Sus scrofa: one gene and its partners. The protein of the gene in region 1 purifies or fractionates together with the protein of each later gene. This does not show direct contact. Links are inferred from orthologs where the notes say so. Each region holds a gene or a part of one and is shown in the gene's direction. Other genes may lie near its edges.

Region 1 (3,966 bases):
GGAGCTAACACTTGGGTGTGTTACAGACACACCTAAAGAACCAGCCAAATTGTAGGGGCGACAAGACAGGGTAAAGGCAGTGTACACAACTTGCTCGGGTGTAGGGGTGGGGAGAGGGCTGGAGTGGGCTAGGTTTGCCGGAGGTGGTTTTTTGTTTTTTCTTTTTAGGGCCGCACCCTTGGCATATGGAAGTTCCCAAGCAAGGGGTCGAATCCGAGCTGCAGCTGCTGGCCTATGCCACAGCCAATGTCAGATCTGAGCCCAATCCGTGACCTCTGTTGCAGCTTGTGGCAACGTTGTATCCTTAACCCACTGAGCAAGTCCAGGTATCGAACCCACATCCTCATTGATACTAGTTGGGTTCTTAACCTGCTGACCACAACGGGAACTCCCAGAAGTGAGTTTTGAAAGACTAACGGAGACGGAGGGTAGAGGGAAGTTGGGAGGGGTTAGAAAATGCCAGGGATGTTCTCAGTGCTGTAGGTAATGAGGTGGAAGGAGGAAAGAAAGGATGTGTAGACCAAGGCACTCAGGACCAGGCTCCACTGGCAAACCATTCATTCACTCAAAAATCATTTATGGAGTTCCCCTGTGGCTCAGCGGGATTTGAACTTTTGTGGCTCTGATTACAGCTGTGGCGTGAGTTCCGTCCCTGGTGCGAGTACTCCTGCATGCTGTGAATGCGGCCCGAAAAAGAAATCATTTAGGTGCCCATATGTCAGGTAGTTTTGATCACGTGTTACAGTGATAAAGGCGACAGAACGCCCTTCGGTGGGGATGAGTGAGACGTGTGCAAGGAACAGACACGAGAGCCAATGTGGCTGAAGCACGGCGATCAAAGGGCAGAAAAGCAGAGGCCAGGGCTGGCTGGCGGGCAGGGGTCTGATCTTACAGGGTCTTGCAGGTGGTTAGGAGTGTGGCTTTTACTCTGAGGGCAACAACATGAAGTTTCATTCATGCTGCAGCAGCCTTACAAAGTAGGCAGTCTAATCCCAGTATACTTTAGGACGATCAGGGTGCGGTTAAGTAAGTTGTTCAAGGTCAGAGGCAGGCGAGAGGGCTACTAAGACCTGCCGGCTCTCCCCGACCCAGGGCTGCCTGCGCGGGTCTGGGCAGGCGCGCGCCACGGCCGCACTGAGCATGCGCTGCTGCCTACGGAAGCCGGCAGGGAGGGGGCGGGGCCGACACTGGCGGGCGCGGGGGAAATGGCGGCGGCGGCTGCGGCGAACGGGACCGGAGGGAGCAGCGGGATGGAGGTGGATGCAGCAGGTAACCGACCGGGAGGGAGCGGCTTCTGGAGACGCCCTTGGGGCGCGTCAAGGCCTTCCTGGACTCCCGGGGAAGTCGGGAGGGCGGGTCAGCGGCGCGTTCCCTGGGATAACTTGCGGGAGGGATGTATGGCCCGGCTCTGCTGGCTTCCCCTCCCATCTCCCGGGGGGAACGTGGGACCCGGACTCTCACCCTCTCTTCCAACTGCTTAGTCGTCCCCAGCGTGATGGCCTCCGGAGTGACTGGCAGTGTTTCAGTCGCCCTTCACCCCCTCGTCATTCTCAACATCTCAGACCATTGGATTCGCATGCGCTCCCAGGAGGGGCGGCCTATGCAGGGTGAGTGTTCGGCGTAATTCTCTGGCCTTCTTTTCCTGGTCATCTCCCCCAAACGGTGGTCCTTCCCTTTCCTTTGCTGAAGCCAATTCTTCCGCCGCAAACCACCCGTTTCCCTAGTACTGGGTTCACTTGACCTCAGACCCTCAGGCTATACTGATTTAACTAAGTTTCAGGATTCTTTACCCTCACCTCTTGTGTCCTCTCCTCCAGTGATTGGGGCTCTGATCGGGAAGCAGGAGGGCCGAAATATCGAGGTGATGAACTCCTTTGAGCTGCTGTCCCACACCGTGGAAGAGAAGATTATCATTGACAAGGAATATTATTACACCAAGGAGGAGCAGTGTGAGAGGGGAATAGAGGTGGGGGAGAGGAGTGGGAGTTAAAAAAAGAAAGAAAATCAGAATAGGGAAGGTGGAGAGGGTTGGGGGGAAAAAAATAAACAGGAGATGAGCAGAATGGAGGCCAAGTGACGAGAAGGTAGCTGTAGAGATCTTTAAAAAAGAACATATTTGGGAGTTCCCGTCGTGGCTCAGTGGTTAACGAATCCGACTAGGAACCATGAGGTTGCGGGTTCGATCCCTGGCCTTGTTCAATGGGTTAAGGATCCAGTGTTGCCATGAACAGTGGTGTAGGTCGCAGGTGCAGCTCGGATCCTGCATTGCTGTGGCTGTGGTGTAGGCCGACGGACACAGCTCCAATTGGACCCCTAGCCTGGGAACCTCCATGTGCTGCGGGAGCGGCCCTAGAAATGGAAAAAAGACCAAAAAAAAAAAAAAAAAAGAACATATTTGGTTACTTCCCACAAAGTAAGGAGAAGATAGAAGAGATGACTTACTCTAAACTGAGCCGGGATGGGATGGGGAGAAGCTGGTTAAAATCCACCAGGAGCTTCAAATTAAAGAAGCGATATTTAAAAAAAAAAAAAAAATACTCTGTGCTCTGGCCCTTTCCTCCTCAGTTAAACAGGTGTTCAAGGAGCTGGAGTTTCTGGGTTGGTATACCACAGGGGGACCGCCTGACCCCTCTGATATCCACGTCCATAAGCAGGTATACACACTTCCGTTTGCACGTTGGGGCGGAGGACAGAGGATGAGCGGGAGAAAAATGGGCCCTGGCACTCAGGTGCATCTGCCCCCTCTTCCAGGTGTGCGAGATAATTGAGAGCCCTTTGTTTCTTAAGTTGAACCCTATGACTAAGCACACAGATGTGAGTAATACTGAGCCCGTGGCTACTTTGTCCTGCTTGTCCATTGCTATGCCTACCCAGATTTTAATTCTCATCCTGTTTTTTACTGTATCGCCTCTGTTGAATTGACTCTCCCTTCTCTTTACCAGCTGAGACTTTGGGTGTCATTTAACCTCTAAACTGCATTTCCCCCATGTACTAAAATGGGATAATTCCTACTTGTAACTTGGGGACATAGAAAAACGGAATGCGAAAGGGCCAAGCCTGGTTTGGGGCCCTTCAGGTACGTGTGCTGTTACTAAGAGCTCTTCGCCCATCTCCTCTTTACAGCTTCCGGTCAGCGTCTTTGAGTCTGTTATAGATATCATCAATGGAGAGGTAATGCCATACCCTTCAACTCTCAGACCCTGCTCCCGGTGTTTCCTGCTTTTGACTCTCTCTCTGTGCCCTGTAGGCCACGATGCTTTTTGCTGAGCTGACCTATACCCTGGCCACAGAGGAGGCTGAACGCATTGGTGTAGATCATGTGGCCCGAATGACAGCAACAGGCAGCGGAGAGAACTCCACTGGTAATGCAGGCTGGAGGGGTTTCCTTCGCAGCGGGGGGTGGGACGTGTTGGCCCCATGCCTTCTCAGCCTTGGCCTGACCCTGTGTAGTGGCGGAACACCTGATTGCGCAGCACAGCGCCATCAAGATGCTGCACAGCCGCGTCAAGCTCATCTTGGAGTATGTCAAGGCCTCTGAAGCAGGTAGGACAGGTGTCCCCCTGACACTTGAACCACTTTTTCTCTCCTTCCTGGGGAAGCAACAGTATCACATTAATGCAGCCCTTTGCTGTGCCTTTAGGAGAGGTCCCCTTTAACCATGAGATCCTGCGGGAGGCTTATGCTCTGTGTCACTGCCTCCCAGTGCTCAGCACTGATAAGTTCAAGACAGACTTTTATGATGTGAGTATAAAGCCCAGGATCAGGAGGGTGGGGCTCATGCCACCATTTCTGCATGCAGGACATTGGAGCCAGAGCCCCTGGGAAACTGGTTCTTTGTTTCCTTGCAGCAATGCAATGACGTGGGACTCATGGCCTACCTAGGCACCATCACCAAAACGTGCAATACCATGAACCAGTTCGTGAACAAGTTCAACGTCCTCTATGACCGACAAGGCATCGGCAGGC
Region 2 (3,500 bases), on another chromosome or scaffold:
AACCATTATATATTGCTGGTGGGGTAAAATGGTGCAGTCAACAGTTTGTCAGTTTCTTAAAAAGTTAAACGCAAAATTATCACATGACACAGTAATTACATTTTCGAGGTATCAACCTGAGACCTAAATCAATGTCCACACAAAGGTTTGAACATGATTGTTCATAGCAGCATTATTCACGATAACTGAAAAAATGGAAAACAGTATCCCTAAACTAGACAAAATGTGGTATATCTACTTATTATATACTATTCAGCAGGAGAAAAGAATAAACTGCTGACCCATGTTAAAATTTGGACTACAAAAACATTATGTAAAGTGTAAGAAGCTATACATTATATAATTCCATTTATGTGAAAAGTCCAGAAAAGATGAATTTACAGAGGTAAAATACAGCCTAGGATGGTGGGTGGTAAGTGGGCATGAGAAATTTTATTGAGATGAGGAAAATGTTCTAAAACTAATTTATGGTGTTGGTTGCAACACTGGGTTAAGTTGCTAAAAATCACTGAACTGTATGCTTTAAGTTGATTTTTATTATATGTAAAGTGTATCTCAAGAAAATATATCTTATACTTAACCCAAAGTTGCAAAGGTTTTCTTCTAAGTTTTTTTTTTTTTCTTTTAATTTTATGGCTGCACCCATGGAAATTCTCAGGCCAGGGATTGAATATAAGCTGCAGTTGCAATCTACACCACAGCTGCAGCAATGCCAGGTGCTTTTAACCCACTGTGAGGAGCAAACCCACATCTCCACAGCGACCTGAGCCACTGTGGTCAGATTTTTAGCCCAATGCACCACAGCAGAAACACGAAGAAAATGTATTTTAGAAGGCAAATGTGAGAAATAAAATTATTAACATATTGTTTAATCAGAAGTCCAAAATGTTTTCTTTTATAAAGCCATCAAAATATAAGGATATATTTAAAAACTTTCAGTTTCTTTAAACCCTTAATACTCTTTCTAGAGCCAGGATCTCAAGAAATATCAGTGAAACTCCCTTTCAGACTGACATGAGCGTACGTGTATATACTTTTTTATACAACTGTATTGTCCTGGGTTCAAAACAGAAAACCTACTACATCTTCTTATCTTTGAAAATGAGTCATTGCCTTCAGTTGTCTGGCCATTATAGATTTGACATTGTCTCTGAAACATTTGATGAAAAATATCAAAACCATTTTTTCATATACTGCGTTTTTCCCTTTTTGTTTTCTTTTGTTTTGCTTTGTTGTAGATCACTGTGTTCACTACTATGATCTTCGTAACACTAAACAGCCAATCATGGTATTCAAAGGACACCGAAAAGCAGTCTCTTACGCAAAGTTTGTGAGCGGTGAGGAAATTGTGTCTGCGTGAGTATTACTCTTTTCAGAAGTTGAGCTTAACGTGTTTGTAACGTCACCCGCCATGGGTTTTGTAAAGAGTAACAACACTGTGGTGCATGCACTTCTTCTTAAATAGTAGGTTTTTGTAACTTGTGTAATGAGAGCATATGTATATTTGCGTCTGTATTGCTCACTTCTGTGTTATTTGTGAATAAAATCTTGATAATACTATTTTTAGTGTTGCCCCCTTAAACATTTGAACCTCAGATTAGATTTCAGCCTTTCCTTATAAAAAGAGAAACAATATAGTTGATGCAATAGAATGAGAAGTGTTTTATTTATTAAAGTCTACTAATAGGTTATTATACATTAATCTACATTGCAATAGGGTAGTAGTATTTTTGCTTTTAAGCAATATTTGGTTGACTTTTTTTTTTTTTTTTTTGTCTTTTTAGGGCCGCACCCAATGGCATATGGAGGTTCCCAGGCTAGGGGTCAAATCTGAGCTGTAGCCACTGGCCTATGCCACAGCCACAGCCACACCAGATCTGAGCCACATCTGTGAAATATACCACAGCTCACGTCAACACCAGATCCTTAACCCACTGAGCAAGGTGAGGGATTAAACCTGCATCCTCATGGATACTAGTCAGATTGGTTTCTGCTGAGCCACAATGGGAACTCCTTGGTTGACATTTTTTATTCCATTTCCATGTTACTTGATCTTCCTCTGATTTCATGGTGAGTTTTAAATATGTTCTGAAAAGAACTTTCTAAATATGACTGCTTACACCTGACAGATGTCCTTCGAGAAGCCTTCTGAACTAGGGAATCATAATATAAGCTTTTAGTTGTCTTTTATTTTGTTTGGCAGTAACAAGATAACAACCAGATAAATAAATCTCATTGCTCAAATACTGTGGACCAAGCTCTTCTACTAACAGACAGTCCCTTCTTTCTGTCATCCATTTCACTGTTCTCTTTTTTCTAGTAAATCTCCTTTTTTCTTCTCAAGCTTAATCTTACACTGTTTTCCTTTTTTCTTTTTTTCACGTGGTTTCTAATATCCCTTAGGAGATTATTAATGCCAGTGCCTAATAGTGGGGACCGCCCACCATGCGGGTTGCTCTCAATAAGAACTTGGTAATTTGAGTTGAGGTCATTTGAATTGAGTTACCAAAAAAGGGAGAAAAAAGAAAAGGCTGAGCTTTCTAAGGGGAATTAATATAGGCAATTAGTTCACAACTCTAAAGTAAGTAGTAACTAGTCAAAAAGTATCCCATCTTTAGAAATAATAATGGGTAGTAAATAACTAAAATATTATTCAGATTCAAATGTGAATGATAGATTATATGGCAAAAATATTTTTCTTAAATTTCAGACTTATAAATGTTGAATCAGTTAGTTTGATTTCAACTAGTTAATTATATACATTGGAAATCTCAGTTGAGCTTTTTAATGTGGATTTGTTGTTTATATATTCACTAGTCTTTTTTCCTTCTTAGTTTTTATAAATTACGATGATTTACCTCTTGGACGTAATTGATGTTTATAAGTATTTGAGACAAGTACATTTGGAAATACTGGAAAGTAATATTAAAGTATATACATATTGTTTCAACCTCTGAATTCTTGGACAATAAATACACACAAAGGGATTTTCAATGCAATATTATTAAGCAATGGACAATTTAAAACAGCATAAATGCCTAGGAATAGATGGTATGTTGAAAGTGAATAGAAGCAATAGAGAAGTACCTAGAGTTTGAAGTTTGGCTTCTGAAATAAGACAGTTTCAGTCTTGGCTCTACCATTTACTAGCTGTGATACCCTGAAATTATCCTTAGCCTTCAAATCTATTTCCTCACCTCTGAAGGGGAACTAATAATACTACTTATGTCGTGAATCTTTGAATAAAATAAATCTATGTAAAACATTAGCATGGTCTACCCTATTCTATGAATGTTAGAGTAAGAGAACAGATGATTTATTGTGTAATCATTAATAAAGATATAGAAACATGTTTCTTTTACATAAAAAATATAAATTATTGAATGAGGAAGACGTTCTTGACAAAATAATGTAGGTTGTATGATCCTACTTTTGTAACAGAAATTCAGCAGGAAACAAAAACATGGTGTTTTATTCAAATCCTGTCTTTGTATGATAGG
Region 3 (3,500 bases), on another chromosome or scaffold:
CTGAAATCCCACTACTCAGACATCATTTTGGTATATATTCCTCTAGACTTTTTCCTCATCTAAGTATATATGTGTGTATTTAAGTTTTAAAAACATACTGAGTATGGTACAGTTGTCCGCTTTTTTTCCACATAACCATACCTGATAAATATCCTTTGTCAAAGCAGGTAGATTGCTGCCATCATTTTTAGTTGTTACAGTAATCCATTATAAGACTGCGCCATATTTATTTCTGTCACTGGGCTTCTGAATAGTTTCCAGTTTTTTGTTATAAATAAGGCTAGAAAGAAAACTCTTGTGTGTGCAAGTTGACAGATTTATCTGATTGTTTCCTTTGGGCAAGTTTCTAGGAGTTTTCAAGGACAACAGTGTACTTTTTGGTTTAATTTCTTTTTTGTCTCTTTTTCTCATCATTTAGTATTTGGGAAATCTATTTTGGTTGATAATTTGGGGACATATTTAAATGTATTTGATAAACAATGTAAAGTCACTGGGATAGGCATATATTTGTAAACTAAGAATTTACCATTATTGTGTAGATATTTAATAGATTTTTTTTCCCCAGGTAGCGAAGCTAAAAATATTAGCCTGCAAACCTTTAAGTTGTTTTCTCCCAAATAGTTTATACATGTAGGAACTAGGCAGTGGAATTGAGATAATTATAAAAATTAAGTTCTAAGTTAATAATGTCTTCAGAATGCATGGAAATGATTAACACAGTTTTCTTTGATTACTTTTTTTTCCAGGTGATTCATGGCAGGGGACGTGGAAGGATTCTGTTCCTCCATCCATGACACCAGTGTCTCTGCTGGGTTCAGAGCACTGTATGAGGAGGGATTGCTTCTTGATGTCACTCTGGTTATTGAAGATCATCAGTTCCAAGCCCATAAAGCACTCTTGGCCACCCAGAGTGATTACTTCAGAATTATGTTTACTGCAGACATGAGAGAGCGAGATCAGGACAAAATTCATTTAAAAGGTCTTACTGCTACAGGTTTCAGTCACGTCCTTCAGTTTATGTATTATGGAACTATAGAACTGAGTATGAGTACTGTTCATGAGATTCTTCAGGCTGCCATGTATGTTCAGCTTATAGAAGTGGTGAAGTTCTGCTGCTCTTTTCTATTAGCGAAAATCTGCTTAGAAAATTGTGCAGAAATTATGAGACTCTTAGATGATTTCGGTGTAAACATCGAGGGAGTCAGGGAGAAGTTGGACGCCTTTCTGCTAGACAACTTTGTACCACTCATGTCCAGGCCTGACTTCCTGTCTTATCTGAGCTTTGAGAAGCTCATGTCTTACTTGGATAATGATCATCTGAGCAGGTTCCCAGAGATAGAGCTGTACGAGGCTGTGCAGTCTTGGCTGCGGCATGATAGAAGACGCTGGAGACATACCGATACCATCATTCAGAACATCAGGTTTTGTTTGATGACCCCATCCAGTGTTTTTGAGAAGGTTAGTGCATTTGAAAGCAATAGACAGTACTCACAATTTAGGTAATAAGGCAGTGTGTCTTTATAGATAAGATTCCCAGGCTTGGTCAGGAGCCAAAAAGAGAATGAATAGTTTTTAAGAATAGTTTATGTGTAAGAAGTCTAATTTGTTGTGCATTTACGTTTTTTTAAAACATTTTATGGGTAAAAGATGAACCAGGTAGGTGGTAGAGTAGTTTCATTTTAAAAGCACTTTTAAAGTTGAAGCATAATTATTTAATTCAAAATATTATAAGTTTGCTTTAACTTTTCTTTCTTTTCACAGAGTAATTAAATCTGAACTGGGTCAGTCTAGCTCTCTTTTTAAAAATTAATTTTAATTTAAGTGATACATGCTGAAATTAGAGTTGAGAGAAGTTTCGTAGTTCTGAATGAAAAACATTAACACAGTTTCGTATTCCTCTAAAATGTAGTAAGGAAATGTAAAATAGCTCTTGAAAACCAGCAGGCTCTGGTGGTTATTTTCTTCCCTTCTCTTACCTAGTTCTCCCATCTCCCCACCCCACCCCCACCATTTCACTGTGAATACTAACTAAGTTTAACCATGAAAACATGTTTATGTCTAAAACCGTTGTTTTGGCATTTCTTAACAGACTATAAATCCTATCTACATTGATCAAACATCCCCTTGCACATTTTACCGTGTAATAGTTCTGCTATCTTAAAATTGTCTTTCTCCAAAACTGCCTTGACCTTTTTGCGTATAAGCATTTTTCATTTTTATATCAGACTCTCACTTGTGATCATTTCTTGCCCAAAGAGGAGAAAGCAGTTTCAGTAATTGCTTAACTTAATTGGTTTCTAATCACATGGTTATTTCTGGGGCTCTGTTTACCTCTTGCATCTTTTCTTCTTTCTAGAAAGCATACTTACAGCTTTGGTCGACACCCTTCAGGTGAGGTAGTTCCTCAGCTTTAGTTACCAGACCTGGTGATAAAAATACAGTGTTTGCAAAGGAGGTTTGTTTACACCATTTGAAAAATAAACAGATTTGCACCTTCAGATAACAGCCGCCTGGCATGTCTTTTTTTTTCCTCCTGAAATGCTGTGAAATAGCATTAACTTATACTTTTAATGGATAACTAAATTTTGTGGGATTTTATCCTTTATTCTCAGAATGTACTGATAGAGCAGAAATAATTTAAGCTAAAGAATATATATATATATATATTTTTGGTCTTTTTAGGGCCGCACCCACAGCATATGGAAGTTCCCAGGCCAGGGGTTGAATCAGAGCTGCCGCTACCAGCCTACGCCACAGCCATGGCAGCATAGGATCTGAGCCACGTCTGCGAATACATTTCTTAATTATTTTTGGTTCAGTGATAGTCAGCCCCTCATCAACTATGTAAATCATTTGTCTCTTAGGTTTTGATTTTTTTCCTTAATATTGTTTTTATTGCTCTCATTGTGTGGGAAATCCTGTTTTGTCTTTATATGTTAGATGCAAGTGCTTCCCCACTACTAAAACAAACCTCCCTCCCAACTTTAGTCTAGATGGAAGTATTTGTGCAGTAGAAAATAAAATTTTCCCTCTTGTAGGACAACGTGATAGATAATTGTTAGCAGCAAGTGATTTTTTAAGGGCTGAGTTAGAGAGCCTTTTTATTTTCCAACTATCAGTTCAGGGTGGTCAGTAGTGACAGTGGCTGAAAGTTAACACCTTGGAGTAATTTTGTAAATCATATAAAGCATCAGTTGTATCTTCTGATGGATTCTGTTTGCATATATAACATAGGAGGTGGTTATTACTTATTGGCCAGGTATTGGGAATTTCATCAGAATAAAAATGTCATTAAGGCCTCCATCTTGAGTTAAATAATCTCTTAGGAAAACCAAGTAAGGCCCTGGCCACAGTGAAATCTGCAAGTTTTTTTTTGTTTTGTTTTGTTTGTTTTTGTCTTTTTGCCTTTTCTAGGGCCACTTCCCATGGCGCATGGAGGTTCCCAGGCTAGGGGTCAAATCGGAGCTGTAGCCACCAGTCTACGCCAGAGCCACAGCAAC
Region 4 (2,254 bases), on another chromosome or scaffold:
CACGGATCCTCCGTCCTCATCTCCCACTTGGTATCCAGCCAGGCCAACAGAGAGCATCCCAGGTGTGAGTCCTTTCCAAGCCATTGTTTGTACTACTTCTTCCTTTCTTCCTACCAACCACGTCTTTTCTCCTTCAAAACTTCCTCGTAACGCTTTCTGGGGAAAACCCCATCGGGTTCTGTCATTGTAGTAACTGCCAGACTTGTTTTGAGCAGGGTGATCTGGGGAACACAGGTATCCTCCCCCTTCTCAGCCACTAGCCATTTTCTACTCAGCTCACTATTCAGGCCGATGGAGGTGGGAGAACAGTGTGATGACCTCAGAACGTACGTCCTATTTGGTTTTGGTTTCCCGAGGCTTTTCGCTTTGTTGTTATATATAGGCTCACCTCTCTGGTTAATGTCTGGGTGGGGCTGATGTTAAAACATTTATCAGCTGGTATGATCTCAGGAAATGCAAAAGAGAGAGAAGGCCTGAAGGTGTCCTAAGGGTCAGGGAGGCGGGCTGGGGATTTCAGGTTTGCAGTGGTAGATGCACGCGCACTTGCAAACTGTTTTTGTCGTTTCATGTAGGTCTTCTCTTCGTTATTAAATGGTTGGCAGTTGTATTAATGGTGGTGGTGGTAAAGATTACTTTCGATGTCCCTCTTGATAGTATTCTGCACTTACTCTTGTGACCAGCCTCTTCATCTCCTAGGCAACCTGGCATCCTCGGTACAACCTCATTGTCGTGGGCCGATACCCAGATCCTAATTTCAAAAGTTGTACCCCTCACGAATTAAGAACAATCGATGTGTTTGATGGAAGCTCAGGAAAGATGATGTATCAGCTGTATGACCCAGAATCCTCTGGTATCATGTCGGTGAGGCTTGGGCCCTTAAATAATAGTGGGAGAAAGCAGGGACCCAACCTACCTTACTGACCAAAAAGGACCAGAAATTAGTCCTCATGTGCCCTTCTCCCAGTACCTTCACGCCCTTCTCATGCTTACCCCCTTGTCTCTGCAGCTCAATGAGTTCAATCTCATGGGGGACACGCTGGCCTCTGTGATGGGTGAGTGTGTCTCAGGCTGGTCAAGCCCACCCTACTCCCCTAGGTTCTGTGCAGGTTAACCTCAGCCCAGCCCCACTGCCTTCACCCCAGGGTTGTAGACAGCAAAGAAGATAACCAGGAGACAGTGGTCTCTTTGGCCTAGGCCCTTCATCCCTCTTGCTTTGCCTTGGTCACAGCAATGCTCGGCTGCTGTCTAGTTTCCTGGTATCTCCCTACCAAGTCTTAGGTTCCTCGGGCCAGCCCCAAGTTCTCGGAGGGTGATAATGGAAGGTGCAAGTCAGATTGGTTTCACTCCTCCTAGGTTATCACATTCTCATTTGGAGCCAGGAGGAAGCTGGGATGCGGAAATGAGAGACATTTATGGAGGTGGGGGCCAAGCAAGGGCTTGGAGCCATATGAGAACAAGTTCTTCGAGAAGAGGCGGCTTTGTGTTGAAGGGCCAAAGGTATCCAAGTGTTAGGGCTGAAGCAGGGGCACTGGGACTGGAACACTGGCATGTACTGCTCTGGACTTAGCTCCAGAAACTTCTCCAGAGTTGGCGACCCAGCTGCTCTGAGGGTCCCTGTTGTATCTAGCCTGGAGCCAAGCTCCTGGAGCCAAGCTTCTCTTTTTCTTCTCTGACACGCAGTGCCAGAGGGTCAGGTAGTAGTTTTTGATGTGTGCTCACTATTCACATGGCCAATAAAACCATACCCAACTGAGTTTTGGAGTGGATCTTCCAGCACTGACTTGGTCAAAAGGCGTCTCAGGTCCCCCAGATGAAGAAAAGGCACAGAAATGGCACTGAGTCCAAAAACCTTCATTCTCTGGAAGCTGTCTCAGCCCTATTCTGGGCCACAGTCAAGAGCTGTTCAGCTCACAGCGTGCATTTACCCTGGGTCCCTGGAGGTCCTAGCCCAGCTGAGAGGGATAGTAATTCCATGATTCTGTACCACAATTCATTGTGCTCCCCGCTTTCCCCCATCTCTCCCAAGTCCAGACATCCAAACTGCTCAGGGTGCAGGGGTGACAAAGATGCTGGAAGCATTATGTCTGCCCTAATTGTGGCTTCAGCTGGACAAAGGAAAACTTGGCCGGCTGATGCCTGGGTGACCTGGTCCCTTGATGGCCAATGTTTGTACCCCCAATACCATGCAGTTTTTCCCACTAAAACAAACACTGAGGGGCAAAATTGTGTCCTCTGGGCCACTGGCCAAAGATTC
Region 5 (3,500 bases), on another chromosome or scaffold:
CTGAGCTGTGTCTTCGACCTACACCACAGCTCATGCAATGCCAGATCCTCAACCCACTGAGCAGCACCAGGGATCGAACCTGTATCCTCATGGCTCTTAGTTGGGTTTGTTAACCGCTGAGCCATGAAGGGAATTCCAGAAGCTATTCTTTATAAATATTTGTAATGGAAACATTTTGACCAAAATTGGTTTCTGGGTCTTTTGATGTGATGATTATTTTTGACTAAGGAGGGGAAATTCTTCTGATCATTATCTTATTTCCTTATTTCCCCCCCCCCATCTACTCATTCCTCACTAACATGCAGGAAGCCTGTCTAGCAGTCCAGAGGAGATGTCTGGTGCTGAGGAAGGGAGAGAGACATCCTCAGGCATTGAAGTGGAGGCCTCAGACCTGAGCTTGAGCTTGACTGGGGATGATGGTGGCCCCAATCGCACCAGCACAGAAAGTCGAGGCACGGATACAGAGAGCTCAGGTGAAGACAAGGACTCTGACAGCATGGAGGACACTGGCCATTACTCCATCAATGATGAAAACCAAGTCCATGACCCCTCAGAGGAAGAGGAGGAGGAAGAAGAGGAGGAAGAAGAGCATCCTCGTCGCCGTGTACAGCGCAAGCGGGCCAATCGTGATCAGGACTCATCCGACGATGAGCGAGCCCTGGAGGACTGGGTAGCCTCAGAGACATCAGCCCTGCCCCGACCTCGCTGGCAAGCCCTTCCTGCTCTTCGGGAGCGGGAGCTGGGTTCAAGTGCCCGTTTTGTGTATGAGGCTTGTGGGGCAAGAGTCTTTGTGCAGCGTTTCCGTCTGCAGCATGGGCTTGAGGGCCATACTGGTTGTGTTAATACCCTGCACTTTAACCAGCGCGGCACCTGGCTGGCCAGTGGCAGCGATGACCTGAAAGTGGTGGTTTGGGACTGGGTGCGGCGACAGCCAGTATTGGACTTTGAGAGTGGCCACAAAAGCAATGTCTTCCAGGTGAGGCAAGGGAGCACATTGGCAGTTGGGAAAATCAGGCATGTGTTAGACAAACCTGAGCTGCTAACTGGAGTAGGAGTGGCAGCAAGTTGTGGTAGGAATTAGATATCAGGGCTTGGTCCTACTTTGGCCCCATAATGAGTTAGAGGAACTAAATACACTGAAAGACCCATGGCAGCCTTTTATTTCCTTGAGCACATAGAGTATTGCAAGCCTCATTATAATAGGGTGCTTGGAAATCGTTAGGAAGTTACTAAATGCCCTGCTTAGGAGGGATATAGTGTAAGAGCAGAGGTTTTTGAGCCAGACTACTTGAGTTTAAATCTTGGCCCAACTCCTTACTAGAGGTGTGATCTTGGGTACATTTATTTAATCTCTGTCTTCAGTTTCTTTAACTATATAATATGGGGCTAATAACACAGAGGGTTGTGATGGAGTTCCTGCTCTGGCACAGAGGGTGAAGAGTCCTACTGCAGTAGTTTGGGTCCCTGCAGAGGCCCGGATTTGGACCCTGACATGATGCAGTGGGTTAAAGGATCCAGCATTGCTGCAGCTGTGACTTGGATTCAGTTTTTGGCCCAGGAGCTTCCCTATGCCTCTGGTGTGGCCATTTAAAAAAAAAAAAAAAAGAGGGTTATGAGGATTAAATAACAATAGAAGCTAAGCAGTTAGAACCATGTCTGGTACTTAACAAACATTTGATAAATATTAGTTGACATTGTTATTCTCTGGAGGTTTTACTTATCAGCCCCATCTATCATATAGTCTAGCTATTTATCCCTAAGCATGGTTTCTTTCCTTCTCCAGTATCCCCTCTAGTTTCCTTTTTCTTTGTAGAAAATTTGTTTACTTTCTGAATCAAGGAAGATTTTTCTCTTTTTTTCCTTTTCTTTCCTAGTAGGTATAGTCTTAGTTTACCTGAGCACTTACCCTGTACCAGTTCAACCTTTTGGAATCAACAGAAGTGCTTTCTTATATCAGAAGTTTTTTTCTCTTCCTCTCCTTTATCCCTTGGACGAAATTGGACTTGAGCCAATTATAAAAGAGTAGGAGGTCTTAAGTTTCCAGCTATCGTGCAGCAACAGGGGGAGATTTGGGGTGGTCATCACACTTTTCCCTCTCAAATGTGCTTTTATTTCTCTTGTACTTTCTTTTATTCTTAATATCCCAGGCCAAGTTCCTTCCTAACAGTGGTGATTCTACCCTGGCCATGTGTGCCCGTGATGGGCAGGTTCGGGTAGCAGAGTTGTCTGCTACACAGTGCTGCAAGAATACGAAGCGTGTGGCACAGCACAAGGGAGCATCCCACAAAGTAAGTAAGCCCTGTCTGCGAAGATTGTGCAGTTCCGCTTCTCTGTGAGTCTCCGCCAAGGCCCTCCAGTCAGTATCTGTACATTGTGTCCCTTTGTTGGGGTCACCTGCCTCACTTCTTTCAGTCCTAAGATTTGTAGGTAAGATGGGAGAAAAAGCAGCTACCCTAAACTTCTCAGAAGGCATGTATTTGAGAGATGTCTATATCTTGCACATGGAGCATTCACCTGATGATACCTGACTCCCAAGCTGAGCCATAGTTGATTTGGAGATCCTTGAGGTCTCCAATGCCTTCCAAGCCTTTAAAATTTACTCTGTATTTAGAACATTTTAACAGCTCCAAGGTGCTAGCTGTTGACTTCTCATATGTGAGAGCTTCAACTTTTCTGCTCACAACTCTCAGTGCATAAACAGCACTATTTCTGGAAGCCTATTTAGAGCAGGAATATAGGCCAAATAGTCATGGCAGCCAGTGAGGAGCCAGCAACTGCCTTATCTCCAAGTAGGCACTGTTTTCTTTCACGCCATGGAAGGAGGATGATCCCCTCTGTTTACAACCCTAAGCAACTATATAGGTGGACCTGGAGTATGCTTTTCTTGCCCACATGGCTCAGGAAATATGAAAATTACCTATTTGATTCTTGAGACTACCCCCAACACAGTAGATAACTAATTTTTCGAACTAAGATGCGAGGAATAAAAGTTGGGTGCCATTTCTCCCCCATCCCTAGTATATGGAATTGATTTTGAGAATGAGCCCTAATGTCATTGTTTTCTTTTGGTATCACTCTTTATATATCCCTTGGGGACTTAGTTAAAAGAGAAAATCATCTGTCCTTTTGCCTTGTATAAAATAAACAAGCTGTAAATAATTCACATACAGAGTAAGAATTAATTTATTAAATTATCTTCTTTCCTGGGATTTTACAACAAAAGAGGTAGGCATTTCTCTGGCTGAGACTTTTTTTTTTTGCTTTTTAGGGCCACATCTGTGGCATATGGAGGTTCCCAGCTGCCAGCAATGCTGGATCCAAGCCACATCTGTGGCCTACACCACAGTCACGGCAACACCGATCCTTAACCCACTGAGCAAGGCCAGGAATCGAACCCACCACCTCATGGTTCCTAGTCAGATTCATTGCTGTTGCACCATGATGGGAACTCCAACTGTTCCTTTTTTCTCTTTCAGTTGGCCCTGGAACCAGACTCTCCC
Region 6 (3,500 bases), on another chromosome or scaffold:
CAGAGTAGCGATTCTCTCTGGGTGGGATAAAGTTAAAAGGGGCCTTTCTGGGGTTCCCGTCGTGGTACAGTGGTTAATGAATCCGACTAGGAACCATGAGGTTAACCCCTGGCCTTGCTCAGTGGGTTAACAATCCGGCATTGCTGTGAGCTGTGGTGTAGGTTGCAGAGGCAGCTCAGATCCCACATTGAGGTGGCTGTGGTGTAGGCCGGTGGCTACAGCTCTGATTAGACCGCTAGCCTGGGAACCTCCATATGCCGCGGGAGTGGCCCAAGAAATGGCAAAAAGACAAAAAAATGGGGGGGGGGCTTTTCACTGTATCTTTCACGTTGTTTGCTGCCTTAAAAAAAAAAAAAAAAAAAAACAGGAGTTCCCATCATGGTTCAGCAGAAACAAATATGACTAGTCCATAAGGACGTGGGTTTGATCCTTGGCCTCACTCAGTGGGTTAAGGATCCCGTGTGGCTGTGGCCCTGGCGTAGGCTGGCAGCTACAGCTCCAATTGGACCCCTAGCCTGGGAACCTCTATGTGCCACAGGTGCGGTCCTTAAAAAACCAAAAAAAAAAAAAAAAAAAAAAAAATCCAAAACTAAATATGGAAGAGGTAAACGTGTTAAATGTGGGTGATGGGTATTACTCTTACGTTTTTTTGGAAGGTACTGATGCCCACTCTCCTCCCAGAGGCGGCCTTGTACTTGACTATCCTTAACAGCTTTTCCAGGCTGTGTCTCATGGGAATTGCAGAGACTCCAGGCTGTGCCACCTTGCTCCCAGCGTCACTGTTTGTCAGTAGTCATCCAGGTACAGGGGGTCCTTTTCCTTTGGATAAGGAGGTGTTCTGAGGGTCATCTTTGTCTTCTGCCTCTCAGGACCTGCAGCTACCAGCCTAAGCTCTGCGGTGCTGACATGGACAGGAGGGGTGGGAGCCGTGGGCCACGTGAGCCCAAAGCCACACTGGGAGGTTGGGGATAGTCTGCAGGGGCACCTGGGAGGTTCCTTAAACCTGACCCAGGATTTGTGCTAGAAGCATGTGCATCTTCACTTATTTCCTCCTTTGGGATCGTTTTAGCAACCAGAACAGTTAAAAGTGTATGTTACCAGTACATGAGATAAGAATATTTATTTGAGCTGCCTGCACAGATCGTCCCGAGAACATCTGTTACGCTCCTACAGTATGGCAGGTGCTGTCGGGGATGCTTAACGTTCTGTCTGGCCGAAGGCAGTCCAGGTGCCTGGCAGCATGCTGGACATTAAGTTTTCAGTCTTTCCGTGAATTAGGATCAATTAGACAAGGATCAGGCCTCTACGACTGCAGGCTTCCGACAGACCTGGCAGGAATCCCAGTTCTGCCCCTTACCAGCTTGAACAGATTGCCTAACCTCTGTAAAGTAACATCTACCCTCAGGTTATATGGGGGATTAAATGATTTAATGCACACTTAGCCTGGTGCCTAGCAGTTCATCATAAAGCAGGCTTGTAAGGCAGGAGTATATATTATTACCATTTTACAGATGAGGAAACTAAGCCAAAAGAGGTTCAGAATTTGCCTTACAAAACTAAGAGATGGTATTGGAAGTCAGGGTGGTGGCTTCCTATGAGGAGTAGTGGGAAGGCTAGTAATTGGGAGAGGACATGAAGGGTACTAGCATGTTCCATTTTCTAACCTGAGTAGTGGCCACATGGCTGGCTGTACTTAACTTTGAGATTATTCATTAAACTGTATACCATGATTTGTGTCCTTGATGTACGTTTTATCAATTAAAACGTATTCAAAAAAAGAGTTTGCATGAGCTCACACAGTTAATAGTGTGATCCAGAATTGAAACCCTCTTATCTGTGACATCATACAGCCTCCGTGATAGCTGTTAGTATTTCTAACACTGCTGCTGGGAAGTCAGGGAAGATTCATGTATTACTCTCAGAATAACCATTTTTGAGCCAGGCACCTGGCCTGAGTGCCTCTTTTTTGCTGCCACAAAACCCAGAATGGGGCCACGGTATGGACCCTCCGAGCAGCTGTTCCTGGAGGTTTCACACACCTGCTGGTCACTGCCTGGCAGTGTGGAGGGCAGATGTCCAGCCGTGGAGGTCAGCCACGTTTTACACTCCCTGTTCCCTCCGCAGGCGGAGACCGGCCTGGCATGCTCTGCAGCTTCCGGATCCCCGGGGCCTGGTCCTGTGCGTGGTCCCTGAACATCCAGGCCAATAACTGCTTTAGTACAGGTGAGCCACCGCTGCCCCCGCAGGTGCCCAGGGTGAAGGATCTCGGGGCCCCTAAGCCCCTGCCCAGAGTCCCTCTCCCCAGAACACCGGTGACACTGTCTGTCTTTTCCACCTCCGTCAGGCTTGTCTCGGCGAGTCCTGGTGACCAGCGTGGTGACCGGACACCGGCAGTCATTTGGGACCAACAGTGACGTCTTGGCCCAGCAGTTTGCCCTCACGGTTAGCTGGAGGGGGAGGGCATAATACAGTTCCCCAGAGGTGGACATTTGCTGGATTGCAGTGGGATTGCGCCGAGGGGCCGCTGGTCCTCCTCCCTCTTTCACAGGGAAGGAGAGGGCATCAGAAGGAGCAACGGGTTACTTGGAGAACAGGTCGGCACGAAATGAAATTTGGCTGATCCAGAAAGGCCTGGCTCAGCTGACTTGAAACAGCTTTCAGTTAAATGAATTGTTAGCAATTCTTGAGAACTTGGATTAGCCAACAGGACAAGTAATTTAGGTCTCAATTCATAACTCTTATATGCAGCTGTCAGGTACACATTTTAGAAATTTAAAAGTCAAAATTCTAGTCATTACTACATTTCAAAAGCCTGACCTGTAGAAAATGCCATCTTTCTTTAAAAGTGCAGAAGATGTGCTGACCTGCTTTGGGCAGTAAGCACAGAGTTCATTATTCAGGGTTTTGAGCCATCTTGCCACTCTCTCGGGGCGCCCAGGTCTTACCTGGATCTCTCATCTCTTACTCCACACTCACCCCCCAGCTTCTCACTGATGACCTGGGAGGAGACAGAGCACCATCACCTCACAGGGAGGGGTTCAAGGGGAGGCCTTAGGGACCAGTTGCAGCCAGCAGGGAGGACACTGGAGGAATAGAACAGGTAGCATCCAGTTTTCTGACAACTTTCATAAGGAGCCCTTCCAACCACTGAGGCTCAAACCCTACCAGCTTGTCTGCACCTGTACCTGTGACCCAGGGGCTGGAGAGGAGGCAGGGGCTGTATTCTGGAGGGCACACCTCTCCCAGCCTTGGGGCAGGTACCGAGCAGTCCCTCTTTCTGCAGGCTCCTTTGCTGTTTAATGGCTGTCGTTCCGGGGAAATCTTTGCCATTGATCTCCGTTGTCGAAATCAAGGCAAGGGTTGGAAAGCCACCCACCTGTTCCATGATTCAGCAGTTACCTCCGTACGGATCCTCCAAGAAGAGCAGTGCCTGATGGCATCCGACATGGCTGGAACGGTATGGGTACCACTGACTTTGTGCAGCCACTGCCGCTGGCTCT
Region 7 (3,500 bases), on another chromosome or scaffold:
TGGAGACGAGGGAGTGGGGTGGGGGCTTGCTCCCCCTCCTGAAAGAGCTATTGACTGAGTTTAACATCTACAGAGTGTCTTTGGTTCTTAGCTTAAGCTAAGCGAGATTAGTTCTTGGTATATTGAATTGCTCATCTTCGATAGCTGAAGTTTGGATACTGCACTGTTCTTGCGGATTCTTGGTGATAAGAGTGAAATGTGAGATGCAATGGGGTCATCCCTCTGTCCCCAGGCAGAAGAGCCCCCAGCTCGGAGAGCTTATTTTCTGCAAATACCCAGCAGATTCCACACACTGCTTTAGCAGGTCATGCCGTTGTCTTCCAATTAATGATCCAAAAGAACTGATTTCTTGGGCCTTTGTGTCTCTCTTTCAGGTCTAACTTCAAACTCGTGGCTGTAAATTCAAAACTCTATGCCATTGGCGGGCAGGCCGTTTCTAACGTTGAGTGTTATAACCCTGAGCAGGATGCGTGGAATTTCATGGCACCCTTACCAAACCCTCTGGCTGAGTTCTCTGCCTGTGAGTGTCAGGGGAAAATTTATGTCATCGGAGGATATACCACCAGAGGTAAGTGAAGGGGACTCGTAGGTGGTCTTCCTACAGGTGAGCTTTGGCAGCCTCGGGGAGGGCAGGAGGGGCTGCAGGAAATGCTCTGGTGTTCAGCAGTGTGATTTCATTGATTAAGTACACTGCATTTACATGTCTGGAAGGAAGAGCGTCCTGTATGGCAGGGGTGGTCTGGGCAGGAGGGGCCTTTGATGCCTTTGCATGAGCATGAAAACTGAATGGGGGATGGGGGAGCTGTGAAGAAAACGTGTACTCTCTTCCTGCTCTGGAAACCCCGCCGTCAGGCATCTCCTGACTCAGGCCATATAACTCCGTACTTCTCCCAGATGTAGCCTGAATCCGCCCTGTCCAGCACTATGGAACTTGGCGCCAGAGCATCCTTGGAGGTCTTTGTTTTCACTCTCTCCCTTGTATCTGAGCACAAACATATAGGATACAGATCCCAGAAATTCAGGCCTCAGCTTTCATTCGCACACAGTAGACGGAGCAAGAACGTGAACATAAGAGAATTTCTTCCTGACCAGCTCTCGGAGGTGGTTGTATTTCTGTTAAACCATATGTATATGTTTTTCGCTTTTGGGGGGGGGACATTTTATAGTTAGTCATTTGAAAATGAAGTTTCTCTAGCAGATTTTATACTGTGGGTCCTGGTAGGAAGCATATCACAACTTGGTTTTCTTTCTACTTTTTTTTTTTTCCTTTTTATGGCTCTGCCTATGGCATATGGAAGTTCTCAGGCTAGGGTGGATCAGAGCTACAGTTGCTAGTGTATACCACAGCCACAGCAATGCAGGATCCGAGCCGTGTCTTTGACTTACACCACAGCTTGTAGCAATGCTGGATCCTTAGCCTACTTAGTGAGGCCAGGGATTGAACTCACATCCTCATGGGTACTAGTCGGGTTCTTAACCCACTGAGCCACAGTGGGAACTCCACAGCTTGGTTTTCTATTATCAACAGTAATCAAGACCATGATGGGCCACCAAGAATAGATGTGCCTTTCCTCTTATCTCTTCCCCCACTTAAAGCAGTGGTGTCCGGGTTTTCTCGTGGTCAAGGCAGTTTATTTTCTGTCTGACTATATAATGCTCAGAAGTTATAGAAGAGGCATAACTGGACTGTTAGGACTTTTAGCTACATTGCAGTAGAAGAGTTACCATTATATTTGATGTAGTGAAATGACCTGTGGGCAAGACAGTCCTCCCCCCTCCTTGGCTGATAACAGGCGTGGAGAAATGATGTTGATGGCCCCATTAGGCTCCATTCAACCCTTTATAACTTTGGAAAGACCAGAAATCCACATCATAATAGTGTAGTGTAGGTGCAAAAATTCTTTTCACCGAAACCAAAATGTGTCTTGTTTGGGGGATGTATGTTAGAGGAAGAAGTTAAATGTAAGATATTTTACGAGCATCTGATGCACTTTTTTTTTTTCCCATGACAGCAAAAGATACTCATGAATACTTCTTAGCGTACCTCTAAACAGTTGCTTTGGTGGGGACAGTGGTAGATGGTGTCTTAGTTTCCTGTGGCAGACCTAAGAAATGACCATAAATGAGGTGGCCTAAAGCAAGAGAAAGGCACGCTCTTTTAGATCTTTTAGATTTTGTTGTTTAAGTTCAGGAGTCCAGAGGCCAGAATTACAGTGGGTGTTGGCAGGTCACGCTCCCCCTGCAGACTCTAGGGGAGAATCTTTCCTGTCTCTTCCCAGGTTTGGAGGCTCCCGGAGTTCTTTGGCTAGAGGCTGCCCAGCTCCTGCCTCCATCTCCTCATGCCTTCTCCATGTGTATCTGTGTCCTTTCCTCTTCTGTCTCTTATCGGGATGCATATCACTGGGTCTGGAGCCCACCTGGGGAATCCAGGGTGATCTCATCTTGAGATCCTTAAGTACATCTCCAAAGACCCTTCTTCCAAATAAGGTCACATCCGAAGTTTCTGGGGGTTAGAAAGTGGACCTATCTTTTGAGGGGCCACCATTCAACTCCCTACAGGTGGTATGTTGACTTTCGCATTTAGGGAGAGGCTATGACAAAGAGGGGTACCTGGGAAGCAGTGAGGTTTTTCTTTTCACTCCACGTTTTCATCATCTGTGGAGCTATTCCCAATGTCCGCAGTGACTCTCCACTGATGATAAGATAATGACTGGATTTTCCTTTATGAATAATTGTAGAAAGATGTCCTAGCCATCATTTCTTTTACCTTTAGCATTGGTGTTTGGGTTACAGTGGTCAATGTTATAGACTTAACCATAGACCCCAGAGAATTCCTGTGTGAACATGTACCTCTGTGTGTATCTGTGTGTCTTCTCTCCGAGGAAAGTAAATACAGTTATTTGCTTTTGAACATTTCTAAGAATTCTGATTCCTCCCTAGATTTTGTGACACAGCACACGCCGCTGTGGGCTGACCCAATACACACACACACCCCTTGGCTTCTCTTCCAACCAGGAGCCGGGAAGCACTGACAGCTGCCCTGCAGCCCAAAGACCAGTTTTGCTAGTAGATTTCCTAGTTTTTCCATGACCCCAGCTGAGCAAATGTTCTTTAGATTTGACCTGGAAAACCCTGGCATGTGTGTTTTCAAGTTTCACAAGCCACGACTCATGTACCATCTTCCCTTGGACCACCCACAGTGAGTCCCATCTTGGTTTCCCCAAGCCAAGTCCCCACAATGGGACGGTTAGGCAATGTGGATGGATGACTGTTTGTGTAAAGGCTGGAAACCAGTTTTCTATGATGCGGGGGCAGGAGGACAGTTACTTGTCTGAAGTTCCCTCCTCCTCTGCTGGGGCTCTTCCTAATAGTTCTTTGTCTTCAGGACAAGAAATCATCCTTGTCACAACAAAAGAAAAAAAAGAAAATTCAGGACTGGAAGTTGGGTTCAAAGCCTGCTGACTTCTTAAGTGAGACTTCTAAAAATTTCGTAAGGAAGA

The links.
Region 2: the proteins of COPS6 (region 1) and RFWD2 purify together in Homo sapiens (affinity purification with western blotting; 3 studies listed by BioGRID and IntAct, with this or other methods). This does not show direct contact. The link is inferred for Sus scrofa from reciprocal best matches to the Homo sapiens genes COPS6 and COP1.
Region 3: the proteins of COPS6 (region 1) and KLHL15 purify together in Homo sapiens (affinity purification with mass spectrometry; 3 studies listed by BioGRID and IntAct, with this or other methods). This does not show direct contact. The link is inferred for Sus scrofa from reciprocal best matches to the Homo sapiens genes COPS6 and KLHL15.
Region 4: the proteins of COPS6 (region 1) and DDB2 purify together in Homo sapiens (affinity purification with mass spectrometry; 8 studies listed by BioGRID and IntAct, counting the BioPlex papers as one, with this or other methods). This does not show direct contact. The link is inferred for Sus scrofa from reciprocal best matches to the Homo sapiens genes COPS6 and DDB2.
Region 5: the proteins of COPS6 (region 1) and DCAF8 purify together in Homo sapiens (affinity purification with mass spectrometry; 3 studies listed by BioGRID and IntAct, with this or other methods). This does not show direct contact. The link is inferred for Sus scrofa from reciprocal best matches to the Homo sapiens genes COPS6 and DCAF8.
Region 6: the proteins of COPS6 (region 1) and DCAF4 purify together in Homo sapiens (affinity purification with mass spectrometry; 4 studies listed by BioGRID and IntAct, counting the BioPlex papers as one, with this or other methods). This does not show direct contact. The link is inferred for Sus scrofa from reciprocal best matches to the Homo sapiens genes COPS6 and DCAF4.
Region 7: the proteins of COPS6 (region 1) and KLHL42 purify together in Homo sapiens (affinity purification with mass spectrometry; 3 studies listed by BioGRID and IntAct, with this or other methods). This does not show direct contact. The link is inferred for Sus scrofa from reciprocal best matches to the Homo sapiens genes COPS6 and KLHL42.

The regions. Positions count from the first base shown.
Region 1 is NC_010445.4:8,001,536-8,005,501, forward strand, and holds the start of COPS6 (COP9 signalosome complex subunit 6), read left to right. Parts: upstream 1-1,166; 5' UTR 1,167-1,205; coding exon 1,206-1,269; intron 1,270-1,481; coding exon 1,482-1,607; intron 1,608-1,817; coding exon 1,818-1,949; intron 1,950-2,565; coding exon 2,566-2,654; intron 2,655-2,751; coding exon 2,752-2,814; intron 2,815-3,123; coding exon 3,124-3,171; intron 3,172-3,247; coding exon 3,248-3,362; intron 3,363-3,450; coding exon 3,451-3,543; intron 3,544-3,640; coding exon 3,641-3,741; intron 3,742-3,848; coding exon 3,849-3,966. UniProt on the Homo sapiens protein: Component of the COP9 signalosome complex (CSN), a complex involved in various cellular and developmental processes.
Region 2 is NC_010451.4:117,967,769-117,971,268, reverse strand, and holds part of RFWD2 (E3 ubiquitin-protein ligase RFWD2), read left to right. Parts: intron 1-1,238; coding exon 1,239-1,356; intron 1,357-3,500. UniProt on the Homo sapiens protein: E3 ubiquitin-protein ligase that mediates ubiquitination and subsequent proteasomal degradation of target proteins.
Region 3 is NC_010461.5:20,112,591-20,116,090, reverse strand, and holds part of KLHL15 (kelch-like protein 15), read left to right. Parts: intron 1-746; 5' UTR 747-753; coding exon 754-1,458; intron 1,459-3,500. UniProt on the Homo sapiens protein: Substrate-specific adapter for CUL3 E3 ubiquitin-protein ligase complex.
Region 4 is NC_010444.4:15,342,114-15,344,367, reverse strand, and holds the end of DDB2 (DNA damage-binding protein 2), read left to right. Parts: intron 1-696; coding exon 697-861; intron 862-1,006; coding exon 1,007-1,111; 3' UTR 1,112-1,353; coding exon of another isoform or gene 1,354-1,403; 3' UTR 1,404-1,754; downstream 1,755-2,254.
Region 5 is NC_010446.5:90,235,418-90,238,917, forward strand, and holds part of DCAF8 (DDB1- and CUL4-associated factor 8), read left to right. Parts: intron 1-305; coding exon 306-976; intron 977-2,147; coding exon 2,148-2,288; intron 2,289-3,476; coding exon 3,477-3,500. UniProt on the Homo sapiens protein: May function as a substrate receptor for CUL4-DDB1 E3 ubiquitin-protein ligase complex.
Region 6 is NC_010449.5:96,312,760-96,316,259, forward strand, and holds part of DCAF4 (DDB1- and CUL4-associated factor 4), read left to right. Parts: intron 1-721; coding exon 722-801; intron 802-2,124; coding exon 2,125-2,223; intron 2,224-2,344; coding exon 2,345-2,442; intron 2,443-3,283; coding exon 3,284-3,457; intron 3,458-3,500. UniProt on the Homo sapiens protein: May function as a substrate receptor for CUL4-DDB1 E3 ubiquitin-protein ligase complex.
Region 7 is NC_010447.5:45,937,888-45,941,387, reverse strand, and holds part of KLHL42 (kelch-like protein 42), read left to right. Parts: intron 1-374; coding exon 375-568; intron 569-3,500. UniProt on the Homo sapiens protein: Substrate-specific adapter of a BCR (BTB-CUL3-RBX1) E3 ubiquitin-protein ligase complex required for mitotic progression and cytokinesis. The BCR(KLHL42) E3 ubiquitin ligase complex mediates the ubiquitination and subsequent degradation of KATNA1.